2 linked regions of the Drosophila melanogaster genome follow. The protein of the gene in region 2 interacts with the protein of the main gene of each other region in a biochemical or structural test. Each region holds a gene or a part of one and is shown on either strand. Other genes may lie near its edges.

Region 1 (7,975 bases), on a different chromosome or scaffold from region 2:
AATGTTACACCGGGGAAACAAAATCCAAATTCGTAACTGAAGGAAACTATACACACGCACACGTTAAAGCCTTACATAGCATACCCAGGGGTATGTACATATGCATATACATATACATATATATATATATATATATTTATATATATATATAAAAACAACAACATTTCTCGTTAAACCTAGTAAACATTACATTCTGACTATGTATTGTTTATAAATATAATAAAAATATATATACTTGTATGAATGATTAAGTGCCAACATAACAACAAAGCCGAGGGAACCAGAGGGCCCACTATGAACTACGATTTGAGGGGATTTCGGGTGGATCGGGAATCGATCTATTAACATGGCCGAGTCAGCTAGCCAGGTGGCTGCGGCTCCTCCGTGACTATTTAACGCTCATTATATTGAATACTGGACCGATGCGCATGAACACACGCCTAAGGACACTTCTCAGTTCGGGCTTGAGGTCGAAGCACATCATCTCGCACAGCAGGCTGTAGTAGTTGGAAACGTGGGTGGCGAACTAGCAAAAGAAATATGTGCGTTTTATTAACAACGGAACTAGAGGATATAGTGTATTAAACCAACTCACCCTGGCATCGGACATCTTGAGCAGGCGCGTCAGGATGAGCAGCAGCAGCGATGTCCACGCATCTCGGTGTGCCTCGCTCTGCAAACTCAAATAGTAGCCCAGTGCCTCCTTGCAGACCTGCACCAGTTCCTGCTCGATGCCGGGCCAATCGCTGCGTCTATTCTCGTCGCCGTACATCTTGAAGAAAATGCGCAGGACGCAGGCCAGCGACGAGGTCTCCTGCTTCAGCAGATTCGGTTTAACAGATCCCTTGAATCCCGCCCGCCAAAGCAGGCTGCGTTGGTCGTGATCGGCGTTGAAGCGCTTGGCAAAACGGTGCGACTGCATCAGACAGTCGGCCAGGGTGAGCAGCTGGCGGGTTCTCAGATAGCCGTACATTCCCTGCTCCTCCCGCTGGCACTCCAGCAGCTGCGACTGCGAACCGCTCCTGCCGCCTGTTAAGTCTGCCGCCGCCTGGGCCAGCGTTTCGGCATCCTCCTTGCGCGACGTGGCCGGGAAAAAGACAATGTTATCCATGGTCTGTATCAGTTCCAGCTGGACTACGCAGCGGATATGCAGCGCCTCAAAGTGGTTGTGCTCCTGGGGTATATTGTTACTGGAATGTGCTTTCGGCCGCCAACTGAGGAGATCCTGCGGCAAAGTGGCGTTGAAGATGTCCAGGATGCACTGGCACGTCTTGTCCCAGGTGGACTCGTTGAACTTGAATCCATTCGAAATGACGAGGTTCTCCAGGCAATTGGTGCCAGATCGCGCCAACTGCTCGTTACTCTGCTGAACACACCAATGCAGCTGGGCGAAGAGCTCCTCCAGCAGCAGATGACCAAGAACATCGAAATACTGCGTGAAGACATCAATAATAGCGTACAAGGCGTGGTTGCATGTGGTCGTCATCCATTCGGACTTCTCGGTGACGTGCTCCGGCAATTTCATGTTGTCGAAGATACGGAAGATCACATTGAAGAGATCCTTCCACCAATGGGGCTTGAAGCTCTCACCATACGTCTTCACAATCTCAAAAAGCACGGTTAAGGCGCGAGTACGCACATCCAATTTGCAGCGATTGACCACGCAGGAAAGCGAGAATAGCATCGGAAACCAGCCGCGCACCCAGACTCGATCCTCCTCGGCCACCGAGGCGTCGTTCTCCATGCCGGCATGCTCCGCAAACAGTTGTGGTGCCTCGTGGACGCACTGCGCGCAGGTACGGACCAGACGTATGGCTTCCATGCTGGTATCGGGGAATCTGGCGGTGGCGAACTCTGACAGGCACTTGACCGCATCCTGGAACGAGTCCACCATAATGGCGAACTGACGCTTGTACAGATCACCGATGATTTTGCCCGTGGTTTGGAAGGCCAGCTCCACAATTGGCTCTTCGTTGTCTCCCGCTGCCAGGTGGAAAATGCTAAAGATATTCTTCCAGCCGGAACGGATGTTATGCGCCTGTGAGTTTACCATCTGGGCAATGCAGCGCACCACCATATCTCGTATTGCCGGCGATGCGTTTTTCTTCATGATATGCTCAAAGGGACGCAGGAAATCCTTCTGGAAGCGGAAATTACTGAACTCGCCCTTCTCCATGAACTTCATCGACAACTGACGCAGTGAGTCCAGGGCGAAAAATGAGATCTCCTCGTTGCTATTGCATCCGACCGCGTTAAAGTGCTCACCCAAAACTTGCCAAATGCGTGACCACTGCAGACGAATACGCTCCATGTTGTAGTAACTAATTTCCACTATCTTTTGCAAGGAGAACATCCTCGGTTGCTGCTGCTGAAGCTCATCCACAGACACCTGGCACAGGGCCTTCACGAAGTCCACGATAGCATCGCCATCCAGTCGCATTGAGCCGGTGAAAATACGATCGACTGCGACCACCACGCTCTGGCTGCTCGTCTCGCCGATGTGTTCTTTCACGCTGGGATTAAGCGAGTCCTTGAGCGTTGTCTGCGCTCCAGAAAGAAACTGGGGCCGCACCCCAGTGCCGATCAGTTGGGCCAGCTCCAACTGGCTAATGCACTTCACTATATCCAGCCAGCTGCTGCCCAGATAATTGCCATCCGTGTGGGCTACCATTATAAGCGTCTTGATGGTATCGATATTCTTGGCCTTCATTTCGTTGATGGGCGAGTTAGCATTCAGGAGAGTAAACCTGGCCAGGGCTTGTACATAGGCATCTCGCTCCAGGGACATGTGGAAGATGCATGCGATTCGAATAGCACAACGTATACCATCCAAGCAGAGTGTAGCAATCTCAGGATCGTCGCAGTCCTGGAGACCCACAGAGAAAGCGGCCAGAAATGGTGTCCAAGCCATTTTGAACATGGGCCGGACATGCTCCAAGTGTTTCGCTGAGGTGAAGGGTGACTTGACGTGCGAAACTGACTGCATTAGATTGGTGGCCGTCAGCGAGATGACCTCCATCTCCATGTTCCACAACAGCTTTCTGCGTTTCTCCGTTATGAAGGCCTGCTTTCCAGTGGGTTTCGCCTGTTGAAGCATACCGGAGTTGTTCTTCATCTTAATTTCGTGTTCAGAAATCTCGTCGTAGATGGACGACAAGTACTCCTCGGGCAAATCGGACTTGCTGTCGCTGATGCCGCGGTTCATTTTAATGTACTGCTCCTTGGTCATCTTGTGCTTGACCTGCGGCGAATGAAGATCCGTGGTCAGCATAATGATGCTGAATGCCAGCACGTAGACGGTGTCTGCGCTTTGGAATAGCTGGTTCTTCGGATTGCATTCGCAGTATCTACTGGCGAACTTCTCCATCAGCCGATCGATTTTTTGTGCTTCTCCTGGCAGGCGGAACCCCTCGAGAAGAAATCTCAAGGCGGCCACCACCTCCATTTGGCGAAAGTCAAAGGCATCGATGTAAGCGCACATCACTTCCTTGGAGTGGTCGTCATTCTCGCCAATGTAGTTTCCGATCACTGTCTTGTCCAGTCGTTCGTCCTCGTGCAGCCAGCGCGCAATGTCCCCGCATGTGGCACCCAGCAACTGCTTCTCCTGCAGGAATTGCACTCCTTTCTGAGGCTTACGATTGAATAACTCAATGCCTGTTTCCATCACTTCCTTGCGCATCTTGCGCTCCTCCAATGCCTCGGGAAGATCCTGTAGTTGCTCCTGATTGGAGTTCAAACTATGACTGGAACCACTGTGCATCGTTTGGATAGTTGTGTCCGCCTGATCCTGCTCAGTGCTTGTCGGCGATTGGACTTGCATAGGTGGAACCGGCATGTTTGGATTAACATACAAGTCCTTACTCCACTCTACCATGCACTTAAGAATGGAGACAAGACACTCCAGGCCGCGAATGCGCATCGATTTCTCTTGCATCGGATTGGCGCCCAGTTCGAGAGCCTGACGACCCTGGGCAATTTTCGAAAGATCGTTGACCAGTCTCTCAAAAAGGTTTGCAGCCGAAAAGTCGCAATCGTAATTAACATAGATATCCACCACGGACTGGGCGTCAGCACAAATACGTGTCAGCGCTTGGATTACCATCCATTTGTGCTCGAAGCTGCTTGAGTTCGCCTCAAGAATGTTTAGGAAGATTTCCTTGAAGAACACCTCTATCTGCCGCTTAAGATGCACCTTGAAGTTCGAGAGTAGGGCAACGAAGATTGAAAGCGACAGCTCGAAGACCTCCGGCACCAGACTGACTCCGTTGTTTGACAAGGCCACGCACAGGTACTGCTTAATGGCCATGATGAACATCTCGTTGGAGCGGAAGACGGGCCCGGCATTCTGGAGGATGAGCAGCAGCAGATGCAATGACAGCACCTTGGAACGCAGCTCGTGCGATTTCGGATCTGGATGTCCATCCGGCAAAGGCTTCATCGATAGCTTGCACAGTGCCCGGAACACGAGAAAAGCATCTTTCTGCAGGATGTGCGTAAACTTAGCCGTTACAACCGCATCGTTTTCGCTGTGCAGCTCCACACTGTCGTGATCCGAGTGCGAGGAGTAGTCGTTTCCATTAAGTGTTGGCTCTGGCTCACCGACCGATTCCTGATCCTTCATCGCCTCATTGTAGGCAGCTGAAAAACGTAACTGTCATTATTTTCGCGCAATGATAATTAGACGGTTTGGAGGAGTGGAATTTTATGTTGGACCTTATCGTATCGTACTGTAAATGATTCATACAATTTTTTCCCATCCGATAAGAAATATTTTATGAACTTAATTACGTTTCTTGAAAATATTGAAAAATAGTTAAATCTAAGCGAGTTAAGTAGAATAATAAGCAACTTCAGCTTAACAAGAAACATCTGTTTATCAAACTTTCTCCACCGAGTGCCACGCACCTGATATGATCTCCGCCAGCAGTTCCGAGGCAATTACTTCGTCGGAATCCCGCAGCGACTCCTCTCCCGAGCCATTGCAATCCTCCGAGTGGATGCTGCCGTTGGTGGGATTGGAATTGGGAGGTGGTAGCTCGTACACTTGATTCTCCATGCGGGCAAATATCACGTTCAACATTTGGGTGAGCGTAGCGCGTGCTGTGGTCTGATTGACCAGGTTCTTGCTGGACAAATAGATGTCGTAGCAGGTGCGCACAGCTTGCAGCAGTGTGAATTCATGGATTTCCACATGCTGCGAGGTGACCACCGTGAGCAGAGCCTTTATTATCTGCAGTTGGACGGCCTCGTCCGTCTGGGGACCACTGAAGCAGCCATATATGGTCACAACGATACGGTCGATGAGCAGGTGACCCGGATTGGCCGAGTCCTGAATGGATCCTGTCAAATGGCCATAGGCAATGAGTTTCTGCAGGCAGTCCAGTGCGGTGACCACGATCCTGGGCGAGCGGCTCTTGCAGGCAAGCTCGAAGGGGAGAAAGTAGGTCTCCGCATTTATGATGCTCGCTGCATCATTCTTGGGCAGCGGGAGTGCGGCACAGGGCAGCTCATTGCCCTCTGCGATCTGGCCGGCACTGATTAGCTCCGCCTTAATCTGCTCCAGCGCCGAATCGCAGGACTTCTTCAGCTGCGAGTGATGGGAGCGCCGTATGTCCTTATCGGCAAGGATCTTTTCTAGAGCACGCACGATGAACATTTCCTTGGTTTTTGTGGAGTTGTTGTGCATATTGGGCCGCTGCCACTCCCAAGGTCGCCTTCGCTGGGTGGGTTTCGATGCCTCTTTCCCTACTACCACTGCTTCGGATTTCCCTCTGCCCACCGCTTCCGGAAACAACAGCCACGCAACTTTCGCCTGCTGCCTTCTGGGTGCTCCGCCAGCTGTGCGGAGTGCTCCTCTCGGTTGGATTGTCGTGTGGCGGCACTCGGTGAGTTTTTAGCGTGTCGTGGATGTTTGCATGTTGCAAATCTCTCAGTTTTTCCACATTTACATTCCCTTCAAAATACGAAAAAACGTCATCAGAAGTGTGACCGTGTAAGCGAAAATTACTGAGCTGTCGGCAGTGTTGGGAAGTTTTTGGTATTCTCTCGGTTTTGGTATTTTTGCTAATTTGCTGGTGTTATTGTTATTTGAATTTGTAACGGCGATTTGTGATAACAAAAGAAAAAAGTAAACAATAAAGTTATATTTAAAATAAATTATTTGTGTAAATATGTGTAGTAAATAGTACTTACAAATCTTTAATGAATATGTGTTCGTTATTCGTTCCCTACCTCTAATTTTCTAATACAAAAATAGTTCCTTAACGCTTGAGAAGCTAAAAAGTTAAAAAATGTATTTTATAGTTCGCATTATTGTAAATGTAAATTAATAAATTAGTTAATAAAAGGGGTACAAAAACACAGTGCTCAACTTAGGTTTGGATTGATTATGGACTACGCTATAACTGCCACTCCTTCGTTGGAATTTCCGCCATGAAGAGTATGTTTTCCATGTTGTTTTCGATTAGTCTGGCGTACTGCGCCGCAACCGCCGCTCCTTCGGCCGTAAATAGCCGATCCGCCGGCTCTGCGGTGGCCGGAACGTGCAGGTACCTCTGTGCTACGTTGTGCAGGAAGGGGTGAGCTTCGGCCAGTTCCTCCCAGAGCTGAAAGGGATCGGCTCGCAGGGTACTCATGCCGGCGCAAAAGTATCTGGCTATCTCATCGTCCGCCTCGGGACCGTTGCTGCCGTTTACAATCCTTTGCTTCCCATGCGAAAAGGATTTGAATGCCGCCCAGATATCGTAGTGATCACGGTTCTCCGGATGCTTTGCAACAGCTTGCTCCCCGCTGTCCACATGCGCCTGCATCATGTCATAGAGTTGAGTCATGTACTGGGCCACCAGGGCCCCACTCCGGAAGGGAATATTTCGAAAGCGTGGGTCCAGCAGACTTGCCAATGCCAGGTGCAAGTTGCGCTCCATTCGTTCGAAGATCTCCTCCAGCTGCTGAACCAGGAACAAGCGTATTTCCCTGGCAACCATGTGTTCCGCACTCTTCTCCTGCTTCAGTTCGTTGATCAGAGTTTGGGCAATGGGCAGGGCTGTGCTGGCCGCCGGATATGGTGTTCGACTTAGCTCACGCATGGAGCTGGTCAACGGCCTCAGCACGTCCAGCAATTGCTGACACAAATCCACCTCCGATGTCGAAAGCGGCAGCGGCTCTTGAACGAGAGTCTGTTTCAGGTATAAGTCTAGCATATTGTACACACTAATCGGTCGGTGTATGGAATCCAGTTGGGGATTCAGCTGCAATGTGGACTGCACATGGGAACGCACCTTGTCGCGCAAATGACGTATTTCTGGGCGCTGCACCACCTCCTCTAAAATAGAATTCAATTGGTCTGCGAAGCAGGGAACATGATGATGAGCGCCCATGAACGATGTCACCGCATCCTCCAGTAGTTGACTGCTCCTTGTCGACACGCAGCAGATCCTTGACTTTGGAATGTCGAAGCGCTGACACACTTGGTCCATGCGATCCACCAGATCGTTGGAGGTGAAAAGATCGGGAAGGCGCAGCACAGAAAGAGTTCGGGAGATTCGTTGCCGCCCCTCGTGAAAGTGGGCCACCAGCTCCATCCAGCTTCGACTCTCCGCATTCGTGTGCACCGAGCAACTTAGGCTGAGTGTCGAGATGTCGGCCAACTGCTGGCAGAGCTTGGACCTCTGCGCTTCCGACTCCCTGCAGATAATGGCCTCCAGTTTCGCCGCACTCGGTGGTCTGTAGGTGGGGCACAGTACTTTCACTAGGTGCTGGAATCCCTCGCCCTGCACAATCTGCAATGACTGGCGGTCACGGCAGACAAAGAAGGCAATGTCCTTGTGAAACGGACTCTCGCTCGGCAGAGGTTCTTCCATTTTTAAGTTGCTGGGTAATAAATGAAGTTTACTACAATTGTATCTATCTTCTACCTTCTATCTTTTGATTAAAACTTACTCATGGCCGGCAAATGGTACAGCATGAATTTGGGGAA
Region 2 (6,265 bases):
GCCCAGCGGCGAAGGAATATCAGCATTTTTGCTGCAGGAAAAAGCAAAAGTGGTAAGAACTTGAGTCACCGCGCAGGCTAGCAATCCTTACCTCCCGTTAAAGTCCAGCGCCCACTTTAACTTTTTTGGGTTTTGCTTGGCGGACATGCTGTGCTTTCTTTTATTTAATCTTTTGCCAATTTATAAAACAAAATGACGATTTTTTCTGACAATTGGTCGCTGAGTGTTGTTCAACGTTAAATTCCGAAATTATTGTAGTGTAGACAATTCGATAGGCAACTGATGTGTATGGCACCAGGGTATCGATAGGCAGTTACGATTTTGCGCGGACTTTTTGAAACGCATGTGCAAAAATCGAACAGCGCAGTAGTTTTCATTAATATTTAAATTTTATTTCAAATTACCTTTTAAGTAGTACTTTCCTTTTTAATATGGTCTTATATATATGCGTGATTTTTAATGGATTTTGCGTGACCAAGCGACAACAAGAAACAGAAGGGTTAAAAATTAAAATGGTATTTGTTGTATTTTTAAAGAGCAATTACAATTACAGTTTTTTCTCATTAATATTACTTTAATATTATAAAATTAAAAAGAAATATATATTTTGATGAGGGGTAGGGAGAGGACAAAAATAACTTAAAAAAGACATTTTTATACCATATACTATAGTTTCCTTTCTTGTGTGATTGGTTGGGCTTTTCTTTTACTCGATTTGCTTTTAAACATCCAATAATTATGTATACGAATTTAAATTATATTATAGCGTTCTTTATATGCTGCTTGAAAGGTTATGTTTTTGCAATTCAATAAACAATTTCAGTTTCTTGTTTGGAAATACGGACATGCGGAGCCCTTTAAGTTATGCGAAGATCTGCTGCTCTTGTTGTTGGTGTTGGTGCCGCTGCTGCTGTTTTGTGAAAATTCCTTCTGATGTCGATTTCCACCGTTTACCGCTGGATGTTGGATGTCCTTCAGCCGCTCTTTCTATGGTTCTGGTTGCTGGTTAACTGCTTCGGCTCGCTTGAAATCAGAGTTAGTTGTATTCATATTGTTGCTTTAATTTTAGTGTTTAATTAGCGATTAGCGTTCTTCAATTGGTTGGACAGCCAGTCGAGTCCCTCGTACAGCCCATCACCGCTAGTTGCACACGTCGCCTGGATGTACCAGTTGCGGTTTCTGAGTGAGTGCAAGCCGAGCTTGTCGGTGATTTCGGCCGCGTTCATTGCATTTGGCAGATCCTAAAATGATCCCAGAAAAGAGCGAGGTGCAATATTAGTATGACAATATAAGGACCGAGCAACTGGCTACTGATAACGACAACCTTTGCTTGGACCTACCTGTTTGTTTGCGAAGATTAGTAAGACTGCATCCCTCAGCTCGTCCTCTGCCAGCATGCGCATCAACTCCTCTCTCGCCTCACCGATACGCTCTCGGTCATTGCTGTCCACGACGAAGATAAGACCCTGTAACGATTCAAATGAAAACTTTATTCCAATTGTCCTGGCTTGAATCGTAGGAGATAGATCTCTAAGATAATATAGTCAGTCCCGTCTTGAAACAAAATAAACTTGAATAATCACAATGCATAATCATTACAAGCTGTTAACATCATATAGAATTTTCTGGAATCTGTGGAAAAGCTGAAATCACACTTACTTGTGTATTCTGGAAGTAGTGCCTCCACAGGGGACGAATTTTGTCTTGGCCACCCACATCCCACACTGTAAAGCTAATATTCTTGTATTCTACAGTCTCCACATTGAAACCTAGGGGGACAACCATTAGATATTAGATTTGGACAAGATACATTAAAGGTGCTAATAAGATACTTACCAATGGTAGGTATCGTTGTAACAATTTCGCCTAATTTGAGTTTGTACAGAATTGTGGTTTTACCAGCGGCATCCAAACCGACCATCAATATCCTCATTTCCTTTTTGCCGAATAGGCCTTTGAATAAGTTCGCGAATACGTTTCCCATGGCTGCTGTTTGTCTTTCGGATGCTCGGTAGTCGTAGGAAGTTGGATCTCTGGTTGGCCTGCTCGCTGTCTGCTGGCTGGAATTATGACAAGTTCAAATCCGAGTTGCTATACCGATCAGAATATGCAAACTGCACACTTGTGTGCATGGAGTGGGAGAATCTGTGAAGAGTCCAAAAATAGACAGTTGTAGGCGAGAATTTTTCGTGGTAGGAAGAGCTATCACAAAGGACGGATGCGCCGAAGCTCCTCTGGTGTTTGTTTCACTTATGATCGCGCTTACGTGTTGAATGGCGCTTACCCACTCTGAGTCATACAAAAACCGGAAGAGCGGAAAAACCGGAAAAAGAAACGAAATTCGTTTTTGTTTATTGTAATAAGGACGTCTTCAATGCGTCAGCATGAGAAAAACAGAAAATTTGTTTATGTAATTAATTCCACACTTAAATACAACGCGAAATGGAGGATGTATGAAACACGAGTCGCTTGCTTTTAGTGTTTGCCCCGCTAGCGGCTGCTGATAAGATATCGATTTTTAGTATAGAACCATGACGGCTGTCGGCGCTCAGCGCCTCCCTTCCAACGTCCTCCACCCACTTTACACAGAGTACGCAAGAAACGTGCGGGCTGAGAAGTGCGTGAATGATAAGGCCAGGTAACTTGCAGTTTTCGGCGAACTTGCTGGGCGGAGGGGAAGCTCCCAAACTCTACAGTGAGTCACCGCTGCCGCCTTTTGAGCCCTGCAACCGAGCAGGCTGCAACCGATGGCTAAGCAATTCATGTTAAAATGGAGGAACGCAATGAGCAAGCCCGTTTCGCACGAACACAAAAAGAAAAAAGGTTGCCAGCGAAACATACGGAAACCTTTCGTTTGACAGCAATCGGATATCCAAAAACCTAAGTTTGTTACAGGGAACTAACACCCCAGAGACTTCTTCTCCGGACCGGTAGTGCGCAAAGATAGGTGCTCCACGTTACTGAGAAGATGCTGATGCCAGCTGACGATAGTTGGCTTGGAAGCAGCCGAAATCGAAAACTACACGTAGCAGCTTTTAATTTAGCGCTGAGGGAAGCGAGGCAGCCCACCACCGCACACTCACGCATACACCCGCAGGCGCCAGGGTTGCCAACTGCGTTGAGCCGCCCTGCCTTTGCTGCCTTTAATGCGTTTAAATAGAAGCTCCAGGCGGAGGGCGTCACTGCTCGAAGATGAACGCTTCGCCAGCCCACGCCCCATGTTCAGACATTTCGCAACTAAGCCCACTTTCGGATCGGGATCAGACAACTTTGAACTTTATACGTGGTTGCCTGCGTCTGTGTGAGTGACGTACGCTGTTTTTCTTATGGGTTGGTGAAATGCGGCTGCCGCCGTCCCTTGTTTTTACAAGAATACAGAGACCGGTCCGAAGTTACTTGGACTTCTTTTAACTGAGATCCTTTTAGCTCAGTGACACTTTACACGTCCATTTACCGATTATTCTGCCTTTTTTCGTGGACTTTTCTTTGATTGAATTTTCTATGCTGCCAAACACACCACACACCGAATTGCGAATAGAAAGATAATGGAGAGAAATGTATCGATAGCATCCGCTACCGATAGTCGATGAGCACAAGTCACTATTGTCTGCCGAACAGAGATTGTAAAATGTTCCCAATTATATAATTTAGCTATCACTTTTGTAATTAAAGGAGAGCTTGTCCTTGTCTCCTGTTACGATAATGCTATAAACAAAGCACCGACGATTAATTCGTGCGGCTTCCAATACTAATACTTCCACTATTCACCACAGCCGCGTACGTTGCGCGAGTGTTCGTGGATAGCCCACACTAAACACTCACACGAACATCTACATTACTGCGGAACTTCTTAAAATCAAGAAAAGTATCTCTGCCTTGACATACCACCCCCTTTTTCGACTGAAAACGCATACGCACCAACTAATTGAATCAAATGCACACGGCTAGGAGCGGAAATTTTAAAAACTTCTGCTTGGAAATGTCTAAAATCACAGAGCAAAATAAAACTTGACCGAGAATACACTTGCTGTTGAAAAAACTGCAAACTCACCAACATAAACGTTGCCGATAGAGATGGGCGCAGCGCATGAGCTAGAGCGGGATGCCGATGTTGTGTAGTCCCGTGGTGAAAACTCGGGAAATGCTGCCACGTCTCTTCTCCGCCACCTCGGCTAGAGTTGCCAACGATTTGGATTAATCGATTCATCATTGTCGCACAATGCTCACTCGATAAAGTTCACTATCCAGGTGATTTGAACTAAGTTAAATGTTAATATGTTTTACCCAAAAACACCATTTTTGGTGAACCCGTTGCTGGAAGCCGATATCCTTAAAGTGAATGTATGTACTTTCAATGTGCACAAATACGTATTTACAACAAAAACTGGCTTGCAAATTTTATTAACTGTTAATTCCTGGTTTTGTCAAGTCTGCTGCACTTGCTCCGCTGTTGGAATGGCTGTGCCTTACTCCCAAAGTCACCACTTACAGGGTGAACACTCTTAGGTGTTCCGTTGACGACTTTCGGAAAAAGTTAGAAGAAAAACTCGCCATTCGCTACGGTGTAAAATCTCCAAGGATTTACTGCTTGCCAAACCTACCCGAGATGTTGTGCATTGATCCGCTGGACTCACAGCTCACCAAAGCTGTGGCCGACTCCGAGCTCAAGGAGGTAGTGGTTGACACTAACTGCGGAGCTGCACTACTGCGAGGCGCCCACATATACGCCCCCGGTGTTTTAGCTATGGAGTCAAACACTGAGCGGGAGGAACTCGTCAATGTCTACGCAGATCTGGATGGAAAATGCAAGCGCGGGACGGTCAAGCGGTACGAAAGCCCAAATAAGGTTTTCCTGGGTACAGGCAAGGTGTTAATGCAGCGGTATCAGCTGTTCAACAACGCGGAGAAGCCCGCCTCTGGAGTGGCCGTGGAAATGCAGTCCAACGTCAGCGGAGTGCCCACGCTGGGGGATCTAAGCAGCGAAGACGGCCTGTTGCAAAACCTGCCTTCTATTGTTTGCGTCCGTGTCCTGGATCCGCAGCCCGGCGAGCGCATACTGGACATGTGTGCCGCTCCGGGTAACAAAACAAGCCACATAGCCGAGTTGATGGGCGATCGGGGATCTGTGGTGGCCCTAGACAATTCGGCCAGTCGCGTCCGCAGCATGCTGCCCAAATTGGGACACTACAAAAGCATAACGGCGCATGTTTTTAACTCCACCGAGGCAGTGGCAGCGGACGCTCCATCTGCACCCGTGGGAGAATTCACTGGGCCTCCGTTTCCATGTGAAAGCTTTGACCGAATCTTGCTCGATGCACCCTGCAGTGGGCTGGGCAACCGGCCACAGTTGTCCTGCAGCATTAAACAGGTTAAGGTCTTGTCCTCATATCCCCATATTCAGCGCCGGCTATTTGAACAGGCAGTGCAGCTCGTTCGTCCTGGCGGCATCCTTGTATATAGCACGTGCACCGTCACCGAGGATGAGTGCGAATGTCTTGTGGCCTGGGCACTAAGAAAATTTGTCGAGCTGCGGCTAACAGATGCCACTCCCCGGTGGGGCGGTCCCGGACTTCCGCTTCCCGGTTTCGAGGCATGTAAATCTCGTCTGTTGCAGCGCTTCGGTCCAAGCGGAGCAAATGCGGACACTGTGGGCTTTTTTATTGCGAAGTTTCAGAAAATATAAATAAATTCAACTTCACTGAAATTTTTTGTTTATTGGGCTCGATAATTTAAACATTCGTTTTGATTTGCAAAAGTAAGCCGGCTTATGAGTGATATAAGTGAGACCTACGCTAGTGGTATTTGATCAAGAAAATTTCAACCCTACGCTTAGAAAAGCATTTGAAAAATGCAGTCTGATAACATTTAGGCTTTGCTCTCCCATAGCTGCTTGTGCTATCTTAATGGAGATACATAATGTTATCTTTTTGTTTTCGAGTTAAAAAGAACTTAAATAATTTACAATTCATAACTAATGTAATTTTACTTAAATCTAAGTCCGTCATTGTTATTTAACGATTCTTGTTAAAAGCAAAATTATGCATTTCGGGAACTTTAAAACTTTCTACGACAAAGATTTACTTAATGATTTTACGAGTTGTAAGTTAAAAGGAAGTCAAAAATATTACCAATCATTGATGGGACCCCGATAAATGCATGTTTTGTTTGTGCTTGAGGAAATTACTAAATATGATGAGAACATCGATGAAGGCTTTTAACGCTGGCGGAATCTCTCACCTTGACTGCAGTGATAATTATCGTAAAA

What was found.
Region 1: of the proteins of Arf1 (region 2) and Sec71, one has a biochemical effect on the other in vitro, tested with the Drosophila melanogaster proteins (one study listed by BioGRID).

What each region holds. Positions count from the first base shown.
Region 1 is NT_033779.5:13,791,559-13,799,533, reverse strand, and holds the start of Sec71 (secretory 71), read right to left. Parts: upstream 6,014-7,975; 5' UTR 5,687-6,013; coding exon 4,906-5,686; intron 4,639-4,905; coding exon 596-4,638; intron 527-595; coding exon 389-526; 3' UTR 1-388. Other genes in the region: CG16863 (uncharacterized protein), read right to left, coding at 6,399-7,869, 7,939-7,975.
Region 2 is NT_037436.4:22,868,006-22,874,270, forward strand, and holds Arf1 (ADP ribosylation factor 1), read right to left. Parts: upstream 4,227-6,265; 5' UTR 4,052-4,226; exon of another isoform or gene 3,808-4,051; intron 3,720-3,807; exon of another isoform or gene 3,315-3,719; intron 3,083-3,314; exon of another isoform or gene 2,842-3,082; intron 2,290-2,841; exon of another isoform or gene 2,210-2,289; intron 2,146-2,209; 5' UTR 1,985-2,145; coding exon 1,837-1,984; intron 1,770-1,836; coding exon 1,660-1,769; intron 1,618-1,659; exon of another isoform or gene 1,540-1,617; intron 1,467-1,539; coding exon 1,341-1,466; intron 1,242-1,340; coding exon 1,077-1,241; 3' UTR 503-1,076; downstream 1-502. Other genes in the region: EMC4 (ER membrane protein complex subunit 4), read right to left, coding at 1-31, 92-147; CG11109 (uncharacterized protein), read left to right, coding at 4,276-4,341, 4,430-5,683. UniProt on the Drosophila melanogaster protein: Small GTPase involved in protein trafficking between different compartments. Modulates vesicle budding and uncoating within the Golgi complex. In its GTP-bound form, triggers the recruitment of coatomer proteins to the Golgi membrane.